Arabidopsis thaliana: one gene and its partner. The protein of the gene in region 2 interacts with the protein of the main gene of each other region in a pairwise test. Each region holds a gene or a part of one and is shown on either strand. Other genes may lie near its edges.

What was found.
Region 1: the proteins of AT5G67130 (region 2) and NRAMP3 interact in a protein complementation assay, tested with the Arabidopsis thaliana proteins (one large-scale study listed by BioGRID).

What each region holds. Positions count from the first base shown.
Region 1 is NC_003071.7:9,855,555-9,860,742, forward strand, and holds NRAMP3 (natural resistance-associated macrophage protein 3), read right to left. Parts: upstream 3,225-5,188; 5' UTR 3,012-3,224; coding exon 2,476-3,011; intron 2,035-2,475; coding exon 1,898-2,034; intron 1,806-1,897; coding exon 1,153-1,805; intron 1,072-1,152; coding exon 868-1,071; 3' UTR 595-867; downstream 1-594. UniProt on the Arabidopsis thaliana protein: Vacuolar metal transporter involved in intracellular metal homeostasis. Can transport iron (Fe), manganese (Mn) and cadmium (Cd). Regulates metal accumulation under Fe starvation.
Region 2 is NC_003076.8:26,789,500-26,794,455, forward strand, and holds AT5G67130 (PLC-like phosphodiesterases superfamily protein), read left to right. Parts: upstream 1-1,799; 5' UTR 1,800-2,099; coding exon 2,100-2,204; intron 2,205-2,298; coding exon 2,299-2,421; intron 2,422-2,658; coding exon 2,659-2,796; intron 2,797-2,877; coding exon 2,878-2,976; intron 2,977-3,068; coding exon 3,069-3,372; intron 3,373-3,458; coding exon 3,459-3,682; intron 3,683-3,754; coding exon 3,755-3,841; intron 3,842-3,949; coding exon 3,950-4,150; 3' UTR 4,151-4,383; downstream 4,384-4,956. Other genes in the region: AT5G67120 (RING/U-box superfamily protein), read right to left, coding at 41-238; AT5G67140 (F-box/RNI-like superfamily protein), read right to left, coding at 4,510-4,725, 4,805-4,903.

The DNA of each region.
Region 1 (5,188 bases), on a different chromosome or scaffold from region 2:
TGACTCGACACCTTCTTATTTGTGAGGTTCTCTTGAGGTATCCTTCTTATCGTGTTACATGGTAGGCTTCTCCCACACCGATTATACAGTCCAAGCCCTAGGTCCATTTTTTTCAACCCACGTTCAACACCATTTATTAGGCTTTCCAAGCCCATTCCAACTCCCCTTTAGTATAATATTGTCCTTTTTGAATCTACATGCTCAAATCCGCAAGGATTTGTTATTGATCTCCTTCCCAAAATGTCTCTTACTAGTTGAAGTTGAACTTGCTTATATATGGGAAACTATTTTCTAAACTTCAAATGTGGGACGTTGGTTTGTACCCAAAACAAACCACTCCAAACAAGAGGGAAGACAAAGAGGCAATGAATGCCAAGATGAGCAAGACTGCACTTCCCAAAATACATTAACAAAAACATAGATGCCAATGTAATAGATCGGGACAAAGCCCTTAATAATATACCATATTAGAACAAGTAGATTTTGTGTTTATCTATGGAAATTTTGGTTCCATCATTTTACCTTGTGTATCGAATTTGCCCTGACTATATCCACAATATGTACTTTAAAGTATTTGAGAATCCTTGAAACTGTGAAACTCTGATCGGACGATTAAATGTACACTTTTGGGAATGTTCCCCAAAGTTTCTTTTGATCTGTGTCAACATTGGTTTAGATGTGAACATATTCTTATTAATTCTCGTCTCTGGGACCTAACTACTGATACATAGAAGAGCCTTCTTCAACAAAACCAGAGCTGCTTTATAACAACAACACATATAATACAAGAGAGAAAGCTAAGAACTCATGATCCTAAGGATTACAAGACATAGCTACTACGCTTACACTGTCTTGTTTGGTCCAGTCTCAATGACTAGACTCCGCTTTGAACGGCCAAGGAGTGAAAGTGATGCCACGAGCAATGAGGTAGAGGATGAATGCACCATAAGAAGCTGTGAACAGTGTCACAAAACCGGTATAGACTATGCCACTAACCTCATTGGAGAAGAACTCCAACAAAAGATAACCGTTGATCATTATCACGAGCGCAGCAACAAGCCACGCGATTGTCTGCACAACAAGGTGAGATCGAGCTTAATAAAGCGATCTTTAAAGAATGTTAGTAAAAGAGTTTGAACGAAATTGACAAACCTTGTACAAAGGACCAATCTTGAAGCTACCCATGATTTGTTCCTTGGAGACCAAACAAAGTAAGGGAATGAGTGCAAAGGGGATTTGAATGGACTGAAGCACGTTAAGCCACTCGTTTAAGACATCGAGTGTAGCTTCCGATGAATCAAACACTAGCGCAACGATAATAGTTGGAATGATAGCGCAGCTTCGTGTGATCAAAGCTCTCAACCATTTCTTCATTTTGAAATTAAGAAACCCGCCCATTATGAACTGTCCCGCATATGTACCGGTAATAGTGCTGCTTTGGCCAGCAGCTAATAGCCCGATCGCCCAAATGTATAGTATCGGGAACACACCGCCTCCATATTTCTCCTGAAGATACTGTCCCGCGTTAACCAAACCGATGCTATTGGCGAGGTCAGTATTATAAAACCCTTTGGCGAAAACAGTTGTGACAAACAGATTGATCAAAAAGGAGATGAAAAGAGCAATTGTGGATTCTATTGTGTAGTAGTTTAGCGCTTCTTGGACTCGGTATTTCTGTCGTTTATCGACTTCTCTAGATTGAACAAGAGCTGAGTGAAGAAACACATTGTGTGGCATTATAATGCAACCCACAACTCCAACTGCTTTCTGTATCGTTCTTGAACTCAGTTTCGGTACCAAAATCCCTGCAACAAGAGAAATCTAACTTCTTCAGAACTTAAAAAGTTAAAAGACTGTTCCATTAAGAAAATGATAAAGAGAAGAAAGAAAGCCTAACCAATGAGAAGCTCAGAGCCACTTGGCTTAGCTTGACCAAACATCCAAGCGAATGAGACTCCCATTGTAGCGATAAGAACTGCAAACACAGCCTCGAGCTTCCTTATTCCGTAGTTCTCAAGAAACAAGAAGACGAAACTGTGACCAAAACACATACATATGAATCAATGAGATACATAACACCAAAAACTCACACCGAAAGATGAAATTCCACGAGACATTAACACAGCTAATCAATTAACACATAATAATTTGAGCAATCCATAGAATAGATTAGCTAAATTACAATTAGAACCATAAACACTCACTAGAGTTTCCTGATTCCAACAAAAAGACCAAAACTTTGAGCAAAACACACATATGAATCAATGACCAAATGAGCACATAGTGACAAAAATTCATGTGTAAAGATGAAATTAACACAGCTAATGGTTAACTAACACCAAATTCAAACAATCCATAGATTAGATTAGCTAAACTGCTATTAGAACCATAAACCAAAAAGACAAAACTGGGACCAAACACAGACAAATGAAACAATAACACAAGAAGACACATGTCTAAAAATTGAGAATTTACCAATCAAGAGCAGTAATAACAACACCAGCCCAAAGAGGCAAAATCCCATTACTCAAAATCTTGATAGCAATAGCACTACCAATAACTTCTTGAATATCAGATCCAATCAAAGCCAATTCAGCCATAACCCACAAAACCATTCTTGCCCAAGTAGGATACTCATCACGACAAAGCTCAGCTAAGTGACGACCTGTCGCAACACCAAGCCTAGCCGACAAAAGCTGAACCAAAAGACCCATTGCTGTTGCCCACATGAGAAGCCATAACAAAGAGTACCCAGCAACCGCACCGGCTTGAAGATCTCCTTCGAGATTCCCTGGATCTAAAAACGCAATGCTCATTAAAAACCCAGGTCCGGTGAATAACCATAGCTTCTTCCATGAGAACGGTGGTGCGCCGCCGCATCCGACGCCGTGTTCTAGATCGTCCTCCTCTTCGTTTCTTACGATATGTACCTTCTCTGTTTCATCGTACGCTGTTTCTTCTTCTTCTTCCTCGTTGATTAGAAGTGGCTCGTTGTTCTCGAGTTGTGGCATTTTTTTTGGATTCTCTGTTTCAGTTTCGGGTTTTGTTGTTTTCGAGGTTTTAGTTTAACACGTTATTCTTACTTGCTTTTGCTTTTTATAGGGAAGTTCTGTTTCTCTTAGTACAAGATAAAGTATAAACACAAACTTTCAAAAGAATCTTAATCACTTTATATTTTTCTAATAATTTAGGGGGAAATAAGATAGGGTTTTATTTGGTGGAGGTAATTCGGATAATCACTCATAAACAAATAAATAAAATTTTGATGTGTAAATGGAATTTGGAAAAGTAAATTCAAATTTCTCTTTTCTAGTTTAGTTTTGTTTGTTTTTCTGGGACAGATTTTACATTTAATTCGCTTATTTACTTACGGACACATTTTTTCACTATCTTTTTTTTTTTAAATAGAGAATTTTTGTAGAATTTCTTTGGACTAATAATTAGGTTTATAATTTTATCGAGCGTTCATCAACATGTAGATTATATAGGAAGCTTCACACTTCACAGTGTTCATGCATCACGTATACCTTCGTTTGTGGCCTCGTGTGTTAAAAATAAAAATGTCTATCGTAGTCCATAGATATGTATAGTGTAAATAGAATCCTTTTCAAAATATTAAATAGATTCGATAAATTTATCATTTTTAGTATAATTAGATCATTTTTTGTGATAAAGTAACATGCGAAAATATTTGTTTTTAAACTTTGTTTTGCTTCAAACATGAATAAACTATATATAAACTGTTTGTTGAATTTATTAATATATTGTAACTAATGTTAAGATTTTTAATATAATTATTTATATTTCTGTCTTCTTAAAATATTTCTATACTATTTAGGAGTATTGTTTCCTCGAACAGTATATATCAAAATCAAAAAGCATGTATAGGGAATAAAAAAGCAAATAAAGAAATAAACAGGTGGTGTGTATCATGCGAAATAAATGGTCCACTTAGGTTGATGACCTGGCGAGATCGAAAGAACCATGGGGATGATGCCATGTCATGCAATAGTGGGAACCAAGCCTGATATTAAACATGGTTGGCTCGTGGATACACGTCTCTCACCTCCGATATTCTCTTCTTTTTTTTTTCTTGGTAAATTTGCAAAAGATATCCATCCTTTCACCAATTTTTTGTAAATTATTCTTTACACATAATTATAAAAAACAATCTTTTAGTGCAACTTCTATTGTCAACAACTATGTTAAAGTTACAAAGTTTAGAAATGGATGGCACATAGATTACAAATATAATGTTATATGGATATAGTATACCTTTTGTGCTAAATTATCTATTTAATTGTTCAAAGTACCTGAATTATAAGAGAAACAAAAAACAAGTACATATTTAATGTTTTCATTAAATGATAATAAAAGATATCTTATTAAAATATGTATATACTAGATTTTCACCCGCGGTATACCGCGGAGACAATTTATACTTTAAAATTAGTATATATAAAAGTTTACAATTTGTAACTATCTATGTAACTATCTATAAAATATTTTTATTTTCTAGTTAAGAATTGTTATTAAGTAACGTCCTGCCAAACCCGTTCCGCCAACCCGTCCCGTTTTATTTTATTAATGTTGATCTTATTTATCATATGTTTATGAATCATTTATTTTTAAAATTATCTAGTAATTAAATGCTATCAAATATCTCTACGGTTTGATGATTATAATTGAATTGTAATAGTCATGCAGAAAAACAATATCAATAATGATAATTTTGTAGTAATTAAATGATATTAAATATTTTGAAAGTTTTATTTTAGTAACCAATCGTGTAGTTAATGTAGAGAGATTTTAGGGAAATTGTTAAATATCAAATATTTAATTCGAAATTTTTTTTTCTAATTATCAAAAACAAATATTAAAATCCAGTGGCAACCATTGTAAATAAGTTTCAACTACAAGATTTATTTCACAAAATGGCTGCAAAAATGTATATATAGATATGTATAGTTAATGTTTGCATGCTCATCAAAATGCATTGTGAAAAGAGGTGAACATGCCCGTGTAGTTTGTTATCTTTACCAATTCATCAGAATTCTAAACAACGCAAACTTTTATATAGGTTCACTATATTAAACAACAAGTAGAAATCAAAGATAAAAATTAAAAAGTCAAGGATAGATAATCTTTACTTGATTTCCATAAAAAAGTATGCATTTCTATGTACCAA
Region 2 (4,956 bases):
TTATTTCTCTTAAAAAAAACATTAGATAATAGATAATTACCCAACTAATTGTCCTCAGAAGGGAACCGGGCTCTATTGCCGGACCATCACCGTTCACATCAAGCGTTGGATCTGGTGAGATGTCATCAGCATCAACTGGTGAGTAAGTGTCCCATAGATCCCAGTCGTCTCCAAATAGTAGCCACATGAAGCTAAAAGGACTATCCGGTATCTCAGAATTGTCTTCGTTTGGATCCATACTTTTGGAGAAACATATTACCTGACTCAAAATTTTTTTTCAAGGGGCTAGATTAAGCTGAATTTATATAGATAATTAACACTTTCAAGTATCATCACCATTTAACTCTTCCATTCAAATGCAAATACTTGAGTGGACAGGATAGTCTTAATATTGATAAAGTAATAGAAAAAATAAAGACGTTATGAACAAAGAAAAACCACTAAATATATTGTAGCTCAGTTAAAGGAAAAATATATATACCAAATTAAGGCTTAAACGATAAATAATGCATATAACCCACTTTTCAGTGCCTCCATGGATAAAAGGATTTAGCAACTTTAAGGAAAAAAGGTTTATACCAAAAAAAAGTTCAAGGAGAAAAAGACCACTGATTTACAATTGTTGGGTAGTTTGAAGTCCCAAAATGTTAAAAATTCAATTAAAAAAATTGTGACAGCTAATAAAAATGGAACTTTAGCTGGATTCGGAAGATTTATTTTATTGAAAATAAGGATTCTGTTTTAATTATAGCTCTAATACAGTTGAATTGGTTTTTTATAGAAAAACATTTCTTTATTGAATTTTCTTCAATGGAAAAATATCATTTTAGAGTGAATAAGTACAAAAAATAATAAATGTTGCTTTCAACAAAAAAAGGAAGGAAATTTTATGTTTTGGCTTTGTATATTTGCTTTCAACGTCATTAAAACGCTTTTTAAACCGGAGATATGCATCTTGTTTTCCTCATTTACAAGTTCACAAGATGATTAATTACATTACTTGGGTCATGGGCTTAAAAAGAGAGAGTTTGGGTCCAACTAAAAAGGCTCAGTAAAATACGTAAATGGGCCTAGCGTTATAGCGAGAGGCAGAGAGAGAATTTACACGACGACGACGTCATACTCAATGGACGTAAATGTCCAAACTACAAAAGTTTTTTTTTTTTTTTGTGTATTAAAAAAAAAATCTCAAGTTAAAAACACATCAAGAGTATATTACAGCAACTTGTGTGTTAAATCACCAATTGTGAATAAATCGGTTATGGAAATCAATCATTTTTTTTTTTGGTTTAATGGAAATTAATCATTTGATCGTTAAGAGTGTCACTAATTCGATACGTCACTTGCTGACGAATCTGCAGATGAAATAGGCATGGTATGATAAATCTCGTTAAGAATAAAATTTCACCTAGATGTTTGAGTAATTTTTGTAAGATGATGAAAATTGTAACATTTTTCATTGAAAGAAGCAAAGAGACAAGCAACAAGACAAGAGTGTCCCCACGCATGTGAGCACCGTTAACCATAATAGAAAAAAGATATCTTCATCTAATAATAGGTGAAAAAATCTTATAACTGAGCAAATTTTAGAGAATGAAAATAGTGATCTGTGAAATAATTTTTTTTTTTTTTATGATAGACCTCACCTAACAACTAGAAGAAATAATATAAAACCATTATTACTTATATTGATAAACTCTTACAAGATCACTGTTTCCATAAATCTTGACAAAAATGTCACTCCATATGTTTGGTGTACAAGACTAGAAACTGTAGTTTTGAGTTATGTTATTATAATGTTAAACTGTATTATGCTCAAAATTGAACTCCTTTTGAAAGGTGGTTTATCTTCTTTACTAATCGTTTCTTCATTTTCTCTCTAGGAGCTAGGTGGGAAAAAGATTCAACCTTGTCTTAGAAAAAGAAAACCAAAGCTAATCTTTTTCTTTTGTACCTCTCTTTCAAGGATTAACAAAACAAATCGATGAAGCCCGGGTTTTAGTACCTAAACATCTCTTTGTCTCGTCTTTGAAAACCCCCCCAAGTAGATCCAACATCATTCATATCTCTCTCTCTATCTCTGCATAAGCTACGGAGCGATGTCGGCGTGCATCAATGGCTTATGCAGAGCCGTGACTGTCTCTCTTCTTCTTCTTCTTCTTTCTTTCTCTTTTTCCTCAGCTTGCTCCAATGGAAATTGCCAGGTTCTTGATTCTCTTTGCTTATTATTCTCTGGTTTATGGCTATCAAATTTGGGTCTAAATCTTTAGGGATTTTGCATTTTTGTGTCTCTTTCAGCTGCTGGATTCATGCTCCTCGGCTACTGATTGTGTCTCTGGTTTATACTGTGGAGACTGTCCTGCCGTTGGAAGAAGTAAACCCGTCTGCACAAGAGGCCAAGCCACAAGTCCAACTTCCATTGTGAGATTTAGTTCCTATAATTAGTTGGATTTCTCTAGAGTTTCCAATTTTTGAAGATGCGTTGTTTCAAAAGATAGTCTAGATCACTTGGTCTATCAAAAGTTTTGAACTTTGAAGATGGGTTTTGCTGAAGATTTCATTTGGTTGCATTAAAAGATAGTCTAGATCATTTGGTTGTATCAAAAGTTTTGAACTTTGAAGATGTGGTGATGAAATTTGTGTGTGTGTTTTTTGTAGATCAATGGATTGCCTTTTAACAAGTATACATGGTTGATGACTCATAATGCCTTTAGCAATGCAAATGCACCACTTTTGCCAGGTGTTGAGAGGATTACATTTTACAATCAAGAAGATACTATTACTAATCAGCTACAAGTAATGCTCTTATTACCAACTCTCTTATTATAGTTTCCTCTTTTTTTGGATAAAACTCTTGAATGTATATTTTTGTTCTAGAATGGAGTTAGAGGGCTAATGCTGGATATGTATGACTTCAACAATGATATCTGGCTTTGCCATTCGCTTCGAGGGCAATGTTTCAACTTCACCGCTTTTGTAAGTTTTATCTTCAGCTTAACCTTGCTGGATCGAAAGCTTGAAACCTGATTGGATTGGTAAATGTGAACTTTGTTTTCTTTTTGAATCAGCAACCTGCAATTAACATACTGAGGGAAGTTGAGGCATTTCTGAGTCAAAACCCAACAGAGATTGTTACCATCATAATAGAGGATTATGTGCACAGACCTAAAGGCTTATCAACACTGTTTGCCAACGCTGGTTTGGACAAATACTGGTTCCCTGTTTCGAAAATGCCTAGAAAGGGAGAAGATTGGCCTACTGTGACTGACATGGTGCAAGAGAATCATAGGCTCCTGGTTTTCACTTCTGTTGCTGCCAAAGAAGATGAAGAAGGCGTTGCGTATCAGTGGAGATACATGGTTGAAAATGAATGTGCGTATTACACACAGTTTATATCTTTAATGAAAATTGTCTCTGAGAATAACCTTCTCTTGCCATTTTCTTATGATTGTCTAAAGCTGGGGATCCCGGAGTGAAGCGAGGTTCTTGTCCTAACAGAAAAGAGTCTCAACCTTTAAATTCAAAAAGTTCTTCGCTATTCTTGATGAATTACTTCCCGACATATCCGGTTGAGAAAGACGCTTGCAAGGAGCACTCAGCTCCACTTGCTGAGATGGTTGGGACTTGTCTCAAGTCAGGAGGGAATAGAATGCCAAACTTTCTTGCTGTTAACTTCTACATGGTACTGAATCAATCATATAACTATAATATGACTGTTTTTACGAGATCTAGCTAACAAACCATAATATTGCAGAGAAGTGATGGAGGCGGCGTTTTCGAAATTCTGGATAGAATGAATGGACCGGTACTTTGCGGTTGTGAAACTCTTTCTGCTTGCCAGGTATTAACTTATTAACTCGCGCCAAAGTTACTTATGGGTATGAAATAAGATCTTACAAGCCTAAATTATCTAAAACCGGCACCCGTATTTTGGTTCTTGATGTTGCAGCCAGGAGCAGCTTATGGTTCATGCAAAAATGTTACTGTACAGACAAGAACTCCAAGCATGGATTCAACGGCTGGAAGCAACTCAGGTGGAAGCTACTCAGGTTCAGTTCAGTTCTCAAGATCTTTAGCTTCTGTGGCCCAACTAAACAACATTGTTGTCTTCTGCTTCTCATTGCTTCCGTTGCTGATATTTCTACTATGACACAACCAATCAAACCACGTGGAGAGATTCTTAGGTTAGAGAATCTTGATCACTTCTTTAGAACGAATGAGAGAGCCTAAGTTGACATGAATTGCCTTAGAAAGAGTTTCTGATTTGATTCTTGTATTGTAGACTGCAGAGCTATAGGCAGAAATCTTGTGTATGTGTGTCTTCAGCTTCTGTTGATTGTTATGCAACTTATATATATATATATATAGACACAATTCTACTCCAATAGAAACTTTACTGAATATTTATATATATATGTTGTTGATTGATGAGAGAACACATAAGATATATGCAGATTCAATTGTATGAATTACTATGTACACAACAAACAAGAAATATGATGAGCAACACTAGACAGCATGCAGCAACGGTGGTGGATTCTGAGCATTGAGAAGCAATTCCATGGGTTTGATCTGAAGAGCAGGACTGATGGTAAGTAAAGCAATGAAGCAATCTACAGGAACTCTAGTTCCCCATAAGTTGATGGATTCGAGTTTTCTGCATTTGTTTACAAGAACAAGAAGGCCTCTCTCTGTCACATGACGGCAACACCACATTCCGATTGTCTGCATAAAGGATTCCAATTTCGAAAGCGTGATTCTCATGAATCTAGAGAGAATTATTTGGTTAGATGATTGTTGTTACCTTAAGCTGATGGCAGCGTTCTGCAATTGCGAAAAGAGACTCATCGGTTATAAATGTTCCTCCTATGTTTAGGTGTTGCAGTGAGGAAGTTCTTGAAATCTGTCAAATCAAAATCAAGATTCTCTGAAATGATTAAAACAAAAAAGGAATCT